Linked DNA regions of Lytechinus pictus. The protein of the gene in region 1 purifies or fractionates together with the protein of each later gene. This does not show direct contact. Links are inferred from orthologs where the notes say so. Each region holds a gene or a part of one and is shown in the gene's direction. Other genes may lie near its edges.

Evidence for each region.
Region 2: the proteins of dual specificity tyrosine-phosphorylation-regulated kinase 1A-like (region 1) and DDB1- and CUL4-associated factor 7 purify together in Drosophila melanogaster (affinity purification with mass spectrometry; 3 studies listed by BioGRID, with this or other methods). This does not show direct contact. The link is inferred for Lytechinus pictus from reciprocal best matches to the Drosophila melanogaster genes mnb and wap.

Annotation. Positions count from the first base shown.
Region 1 is NC_087252.1:26,485,910-26,489,844, reverse strand, and holds the start of dual specificity tyrosine-phosphorylation-regulated kinase 1A-like, read left to right. Parts: upstream 1-1,548; 5' UTR 1,549-1,595; coding exon 1,596-1,670; intron 1,671-2,714; coding exon 2,715-2,885; intron 2,886-3,935. UniProt on the Drosophila melanogaster protein: Role in the specific control of proper proliferation of optic lobe neuronal progeny.
Region 2 is NC_087250.1:7,679,048-7,682,982, forward strand, and holds the start of DDB1- and CUL4-associated factor 7, read left to right. Parts: upstream 1-1,437; 5' UTR 1,438-1,521; coding exon 1,522-1,677; intron 1,678-2,776; coding exon 2,777-2,878; intron 2,879-3,935.

The DNA of each region.
Region 1 (3,935 bases):
AAAGGAGACTACTTTTTTATTGAAAAAACATTCTCATTTATGATTTCAATGGTTGAGATGCTAGTTGTCTGTATTCTTTCAAATTTAAATATGTCAGTAATGTAAACAATAGGCTTATTAACCTCATTTATTGATCTTCAATGATTCACAATTGCATTGTATGTGTCGTACTAATGGAATTTACTACCATTTACATGTAGACCCAAATTGAATTTATTTGATTTTTTTTTGCTTATTGAACCCCGAATAACAAATGCAGGTGATCTATGATACTAAAGTCTCTTCTCAACCAATCAAATTGAACCATGTCTAATGTTCATCAAACTTACAATTGATAACAAAGGTTGAGTGAAACAGGGTCCAAGGATCAATTAAAAAAAAATAGAGAAAACAAAGAATGTATGTACCTCAAACAGAAATATTGATGATTTTTTTTTCATGTTTTGAACATATGTATGTAATTGATTATTTAATTTGTACCATTAAACCTATATTGATTTAATTAATTTTAGAATGTTTTTTATTAAAGCACTGACCGGGATCCTTAAAGGATAAGTCTACCCCAACAAAAAGTTTATTTGAATAAAAAGAGAAAAATCCAACAAACAAAACACTGAAAATGTCATCAAAATCGGATGTAAAATAAAAAAGTTATGACATTTTAAAGTTTCGCTTAATTTCACAAAACAGTTATATGCACATCCTGGTCGGTATGCAAATGAGAAGACTGATGACATCATCCACTCACTATTCCTTTTGTATTTTATTATATGAAATATGAAATATTTCATTTTTCTCCTCAGTGTCAAGTGAAACAACAATAATTCCTCCCTGAACATATGGAATTAGCATTGTTTAATACTACATGGTTTAGTCAAGTGGGTCCATATTGTCAAATTTGTTAAAAATGAAATATTGTATAATTCAAACAATAAAAAACAAAAGAAATAGTGAGTGATGGACATCATCGGCTCTGTCATTTGCATGTCACTGACTTGTGCATATCACTGTTTTTTTTTAAATAAGCGAAATCTTAATGTGTCATAACTTTCTTATTTTACATCCGATTTTGATGAAATTTTCAGCGTTATGCTTGTTTAATTTTTCTCTATTTATTCAATTCAACATTTTGCTGTGGTGGACTTGACCTTTAAAGTAAAATGGAACCTTTGGAACAAGATAGCTTGTGTGAAAACAGAAAAATAAAATACAGATCAACAAAAGTTTGAGAAAAATTGAGTGAATAATAAGAAAGTTATGGTCATTTGAACTTTAGATCATTATTGTAATGTATGTCGCATTGCCAACGGAGGGATCTCCTTGCCATTAGTGATCTCAATATATTTAAATGCTAATAACTTTCTCATTATTTGTCAAATTTTTCTCAAACTTGATGAAATCTTATTCTGTGATTTTTCTCTTTCCACACAAGCCCTCTTGTTCCAAGGGTTTCATTCCCCTTCACATAAAAACATTTTATTGGGTTCATATATTTGTAAGGCTTAATGGTTGATCATCTTTTCTTTTTCTGTTTGTGTTTTCCAGGGCGCCGTAGTCTGAATGGTTGTGATGATGTATATTGTTTGACGGAGCAGATGAACGGCGAAATGTCGGTGCACTGCTCGAGCAACCAACTCAACGGACAGCCAGCTAATCATCCAGCCTCACAGGTATGTAGGGCAAGCAATGTTGTAATAATACACTCCCACCATCACAACTACTACTACTATCCAGGGTTCCCAGCCAATCAGGGAAATCGGGGAAAATTATTTTACTTTTTTCCAGTCCGCGAAAAATCAGGGAATTTGATAAACAAAATACCTCAAATGAGGGAAAAATCAGGGAATTTTGATCAGCCCAAAAGTCGAAAGCACGGTAGTCAGTCAGACTGTTATATTTTGTTGCATATCAAAACAACATCCTTTGAATTACTGGTTATGGTGGTACTAATTAGTTTTACATTATTGTTTTTTATGGCGATAATAAGTGTAATTCACTGCAACAACTTAGAAAACATGCGAAACTGGGGATGGGTTTTAATAATTATTAGGGAATTATTAAACTGCATCAGGGAAAAATCAGGGAATTTTGTTTTCTTGAAAAGCTGGGAACTCTATCATTACCACCACTACCACCACTGCTACTAGTATTACCATGATTTTCTCTGTTATCATTGCTATGATCATTGTTGTCATCATCATCATCACTGTCATCATCCTCATCAACATTATCATCCTCCTCCTCGTCAAATTCAGTATCATCACCATCCACTGAACCATCATCACTGTTAAAATCCTAATCATTGATATCACATTCCGTTTCATCTTCACTATTTAAATCTATATCTTCCAAACATGATCACCATTATTACCATCTTTTACTATTGTCCCACATACTAATTTCCATGTCTGCTCTTCGCCTGTGTTTAGGAGACCCCTATTGGCCTTCACAAAACTACCGCCATCATCATTTTTTACTGTCCCACATACTAACTTCCATGTCTGCTCTTTGCCTATGTTTGGAAGACCCCTATTGGCCTTCACAAAACTACCACCATCATCATGTTGTACAGTCCCACATACTTGTTTCCATGTTTGTTCTTTGCCTGTTTTTAGGAGACCCCTAATGGCCTTCCCATAACTACCGCCATCATCATATGATTTTGTACAGTCCCACGTACTAATTTCCATGTTCTTTGCCCGTTTTTTTTATAGGAGACCCCTATTGGCCCCAACGCGGCACATCGTGAGCCCATCCTGCAGCAGCAGGCGGAGGAGATGGCAGCGATGCAGAGTCGTATCCCTCACACGTTCAGGGACGCGACCCATGCCCCCCTTAGGAAGCTGAGCATTGACCTAATCAAGACTTATAAACACATCAATGAGGTAAGTTAGTTTGATTATGATACAAAATATATACTGCAGCTTTAAGGAAAAAGTCTTTGGGTGCTTCCATATTCCCTCATTCACAAAAATACTAGATATTATAAAAATGTGAAACCGAAGATATATTTAATACCATCATACTGAAAGAAGGCCTGCTAGCTATTAATTGCTTTTCAAAATGAGGAGAACTTTCATAGGAATCAATGCAAGGTGGCGAGTGTACTTTGTGCAATGTGAAAACAAAGAACAAGAACCCTAGATCTGAGCTACGAAGAATGTGTATCATTTCTATGAGAATGCCAGTCTTGCTGGCTTGTAATTTATCTGGTTCATTCATTCGTGAATGCACAGAATATTCAATTATCAGGTATTGTGAGGCCTCTTCTTGTAGTTTTCATTTTTTGTAATCAATTTGGTATTTTAGCAGTTGATTTTAAGTAAATTTATGTTTTTGTCCATTATCCTGCTGTGGTTTATTTAATTGCAGTTCTTTTTACAAAAACTGTGTGATTGAGGAAATTGCCTTGAAATAGTTTGTCACAAATGATGTGTGTGTCTTTGTTTACATCTTAGCCTAATAAGGTAAACAAAGACATGAGCAATTACGAATATGGGCACTGTTGCATAAAAGTTACGATAACTTTGACATCCAATGGTACATGAAATTACCATGGCAATACTGATCAACAGCCAATCAGAATCAAGGATTCCATGCAAGTTACCATTGCATGGGAATTATGCAACGGGCCCCTGATATCAAATTGGCCATCACATGGGGTGGGGGGCAATGTCAAATAATAAACACAGTGATTCAGTGTTAAATACAGGGACAATATGTATTTCTAGTTCTTTTTTAAATATAACATTTATCATTCGTTGAAGTTCATGTACGTGCATTATATAAAAAATAATTGTTTATTTACATGTATGAAAAGAATTTCCCCATGAAATTGAAAAGACAAGAAAACTTAATTATAAATAATAAAAATAAGAGTAGCAATGGGTGGGGGCATGTCACAAAATAATTCACCATCGATCTTTACCAACAAC
Region 2 (3,935 bases), on another chromosome or scaffold:
GATAAGAGTCATTCCATGGGAGCGGACAGTCATAAGCACAAGGGCTTGAAAAAGGACGTCCCACAATTGCAATATAGGGGCGGAAATGACCGTAACTTTCGGGGAGGGGGGGGGGGGGGGAGAGAATGGCGACATAAAGGTAACGGTTTTTTTTCTCAATTTAGTCATGGGATGTAACACAGTTACCACCCGTCTTCTCTGTACTATTTTTCTTCTTTCTTTATTTTCTCTCCCCCCCCTTCGGTTTTTCTTTCTTACTACCATAAAAAGTTATGATTAAACATTGATTTGGCGCTACCCTAGAGGTTAAAATAAAAATTTCAACCTCCCCATGCCGTTACTTTTCCTTTTCTTCTTTTTCTTCTCCAGTATCCCCTTTCTTTCTCTCCGATTTTCTGACGAGTCCTTCTCACCCTTTCCCCCTCTCTCTCCCTACCCCGCTCTCTTTTTTAATATAAATCGAATAGTATAGGAATTTCATATGGTTATCATAGTGCATTGTTTAGTCAATAAGATCAATAAAATAGTTTTAATATAATATATCTTTAAAAAATGTAAATGTTCTTATAGATTATATAACAACATTTACATTAAAAAAATATGTAAGGAAAGATTAGGGGAAAATATAAAAGAAGGTCTATTAAATAAAGAAATGTGGGTTTTGTAACCCTTAATCATTTCCGCTTTTTTCCCCTTGCCCTTTCCCCTTTCTTTCTTATATTTATTTTTGTGTAAAAGCTTTTCAGTCTTTTCAGACTATTTAAATCGAAATTATAGGCAATTCAAATAGTTATCATAGTGCATTGTTTACTAAGTGAATAAGATCAATAAATAGTCTTTATATAATATACCTTAGAAAATGTAAATGTTCTTATAGATTATATAACAACATTACATTAAAAAAAAATATTAGAAAGTCAAAAAGGGGCCTAAGCTTTCGATCCTAGCAGAATCTTCGTCGGAGGCAAAATGACAAACATATAAAGTTAAAAAAATATGTAAGAAAAGATTAGGGGAAAATATAAAAGAAGGTCAATCAAATAAAGAGAAGTGGGTTTTGTAACCCTTTATTTCAGTGACTTCATTTCCCCTTTTTTAATGGAGAGAGGAAAAAGGGTGATGTCCCCAACTCCCCATTTAGATTGCATTTCGTGTTTATTCTCTTCCCCGTCCCTTTCAAATGCCTTGTGCCTTATGCCCTGTGATCTTGGATGGGAGCGTTTCATATAAAAAAATCGCCAGTGATTTTCACCGGCTGATTATATATGAACCAATCAGATGCAGGGGTTTGCAGTTGCTTAACCAAAGTGAGTAAAAATCACTAAAATTTGTTTCATAAAATGTTTTCACTCACCCCTTCCCCATATCGTTGGAAATTACATGTTGCAATCAATAAATATTTTTCAACATAGATATAGATGGCGCTATACACATTGACAGATAAAAAAAAGATAGGTAAATGGCGCTAGTGTTGTGTATACATGAATTCTAGTCAAGCGAAAAACTACCGAATATTTTCTCATGAAGCCTGCCAGAATGTCGGGTGTTACGCCGAAAAGGAAGGAGATTTACAAATATGAAGCCCCATGGACATTATATAGTATGAATTGGGGAGTCAGACCGGACAAACGGTTCAGATTGGCGGTGGGAAGTTTCGTCGAAGAATACAATAATAAGGCAAGTAAAAATCTTCACGATTTCTCATAGGCTTTGTACACTGCACTGCGATGATGTGTAGCTAGTCACACAAACTATGATGAGTGTGAACGTGATGACAGTGTGTGAATTTGAATTGTGATGTGATACTGATGATATTGATAAAAATGATCCTATTGAAGCCAGGCAAATGGCAGCTGGGGTGACCATAATTTGCACACGTTAATGTCAGCCGCCAGGATGGCTGGAATTTGGAAAACTTGTAGAATCTACTTAATCATATGCTTGTACTTGTAGGCCCCCTAAATGTAAATTGTAATTGTAGTTTCAGTTTGTACAGTAGGCCTAACTGTATTCTGTAATGTAACGAGCCTCAGAGGTTGGTCACCAGGCGGTCAGTTTTGTTTTCCTTTCCCATGTCATGTTTTTATTAATGAGTAATGTTAATGAATAATGTGCAGTGCCATTTGCCAGGAATGAAGGGAGGCAGCGTATCTCAGTTGGTTAGATTAGAGCGGATGTTTCGGATAAGATCGTAGATCTCAACGTGAGGGGTCGACTTCGAGTCCCGCTCATGCCGAAACACGTCTAACAAATAATCTGATGCTATAGCGTTGTGTGTTAGTGTGCCTCACCACTGTATTCATTGCAGGTGTGAATGCAGTTGGAAAACACTCAAACAAATGTTGGTCCCGTGTATATAGGAGAGTCACAACCTATGCCCGTTAAAACCAATACACTATTCATCAAAGAGTAGGGTGTTCACCTGGGGTATTGCACCTGCCAGTCGCGGTAAAATTCAAGTCAAGTCAAACTAGACGTTCATATGCCATAATATTATCAACATAATGATTGTGGGCATTAATGGAAAGACAAGACAAGAAAAATAGGTAAAACAATGAAAATTAGGGTCGGTCTGAACAATTTTTGTAGTTTATTTTCAGAACATTTTTTCTTTATTATTTCATGTTGGATTGCTAAAATTTGATAGGGAACTTTGACTCATTCATTAGAAGACACCGACACTGTCTTAGCATGCTATTACTACCTTGATAACCTAGATCTTAATGGGATTAAAAAGATAATTGTTTAAAATTATGTCTTTATTCTCTCCTTACAGGTTCAAATCGTAGCTCTAAATGAAGAGACTTCGGAATTCGAAGCGAAGAGTACGTTTGATCATCCCTACCCGACGACTAAAATCATGTGGATACCTGATAATGTAAGCAATATTCCCTCTCAAATCAGTAGTATCTGTGTTTAAAGTTCTGTCTTTATAGTATCAGGGACTCGGTTTTAAGGGGAGTGAGAGCGATAGCTCGCTACTGCTCGCCTTAATCCATTTTAGATAGAGGTGGAGTGATTTATCGCTCGCCTCAGTGAATTAGATTTTCTTATGACATGAAATGATAAATGCAGAAAAACTAGAAATCAGGCGATATCATACACATTGACATTTGTATTAATTGCTTGTTTATTTCCATGTATAATCTCTATTCTGACATCATTTAACCTGAACGATAGAACAAGAGTGTCGGTCAATGATCCCCTACCGCGGCTCCTCTTAAAACTTTTAGGAGAGCTTTTTATTGCTCCCCTCATAATTATAAAACTGAGTCCCCGTAGTATACATACCTGTAGCGCTTAAAGGGGCACTCCAGGTTGAATATATTATGATTTGAACAGATAAAATCAGACAAACAACACTAAAAATTTGATCAAAATCGGACAAGGAATAACAAAGTTATGGCATTTTAAAGACTTGCATTATTACTGTGAAACATTATTAGAAACTCTGCATTTCTTCATGAATATTCATTGAGCAAACTGATGATGTCATATTCCCTCTTGTTCTTTTGTATTTACATGTACATGTACATGTATATGAAATTAGGTTTATTCAAATTTTTCCCTCTAAGAACTAAACAAAATTGGATTACTGATTTATTAGATATGCTGCAACTTATTTCATTAGAAGGGAGACATATCAGTTGAGAAACAAAACATAAGTAAAAGGAAAGTGGGGATGTGACATCAGCCCACCTAATGAATATTCATGACTACATGCATCTAACTCTTTTCACAATATATTGCTAAACTTTAAAATTCAATAACTTAGGTATTAGTTATCCGATTTTGATGAGATTTTCAGCATTTTGCTCTGTGAATTTTACTCTATTTATTTAGATACAAATAATTCCAGCCCAGAGTACCCTTTAAGTAAGGCTGAACGTCTCTAAACATCCTGACCTTAAGGATTATTACATGTACATGTATTT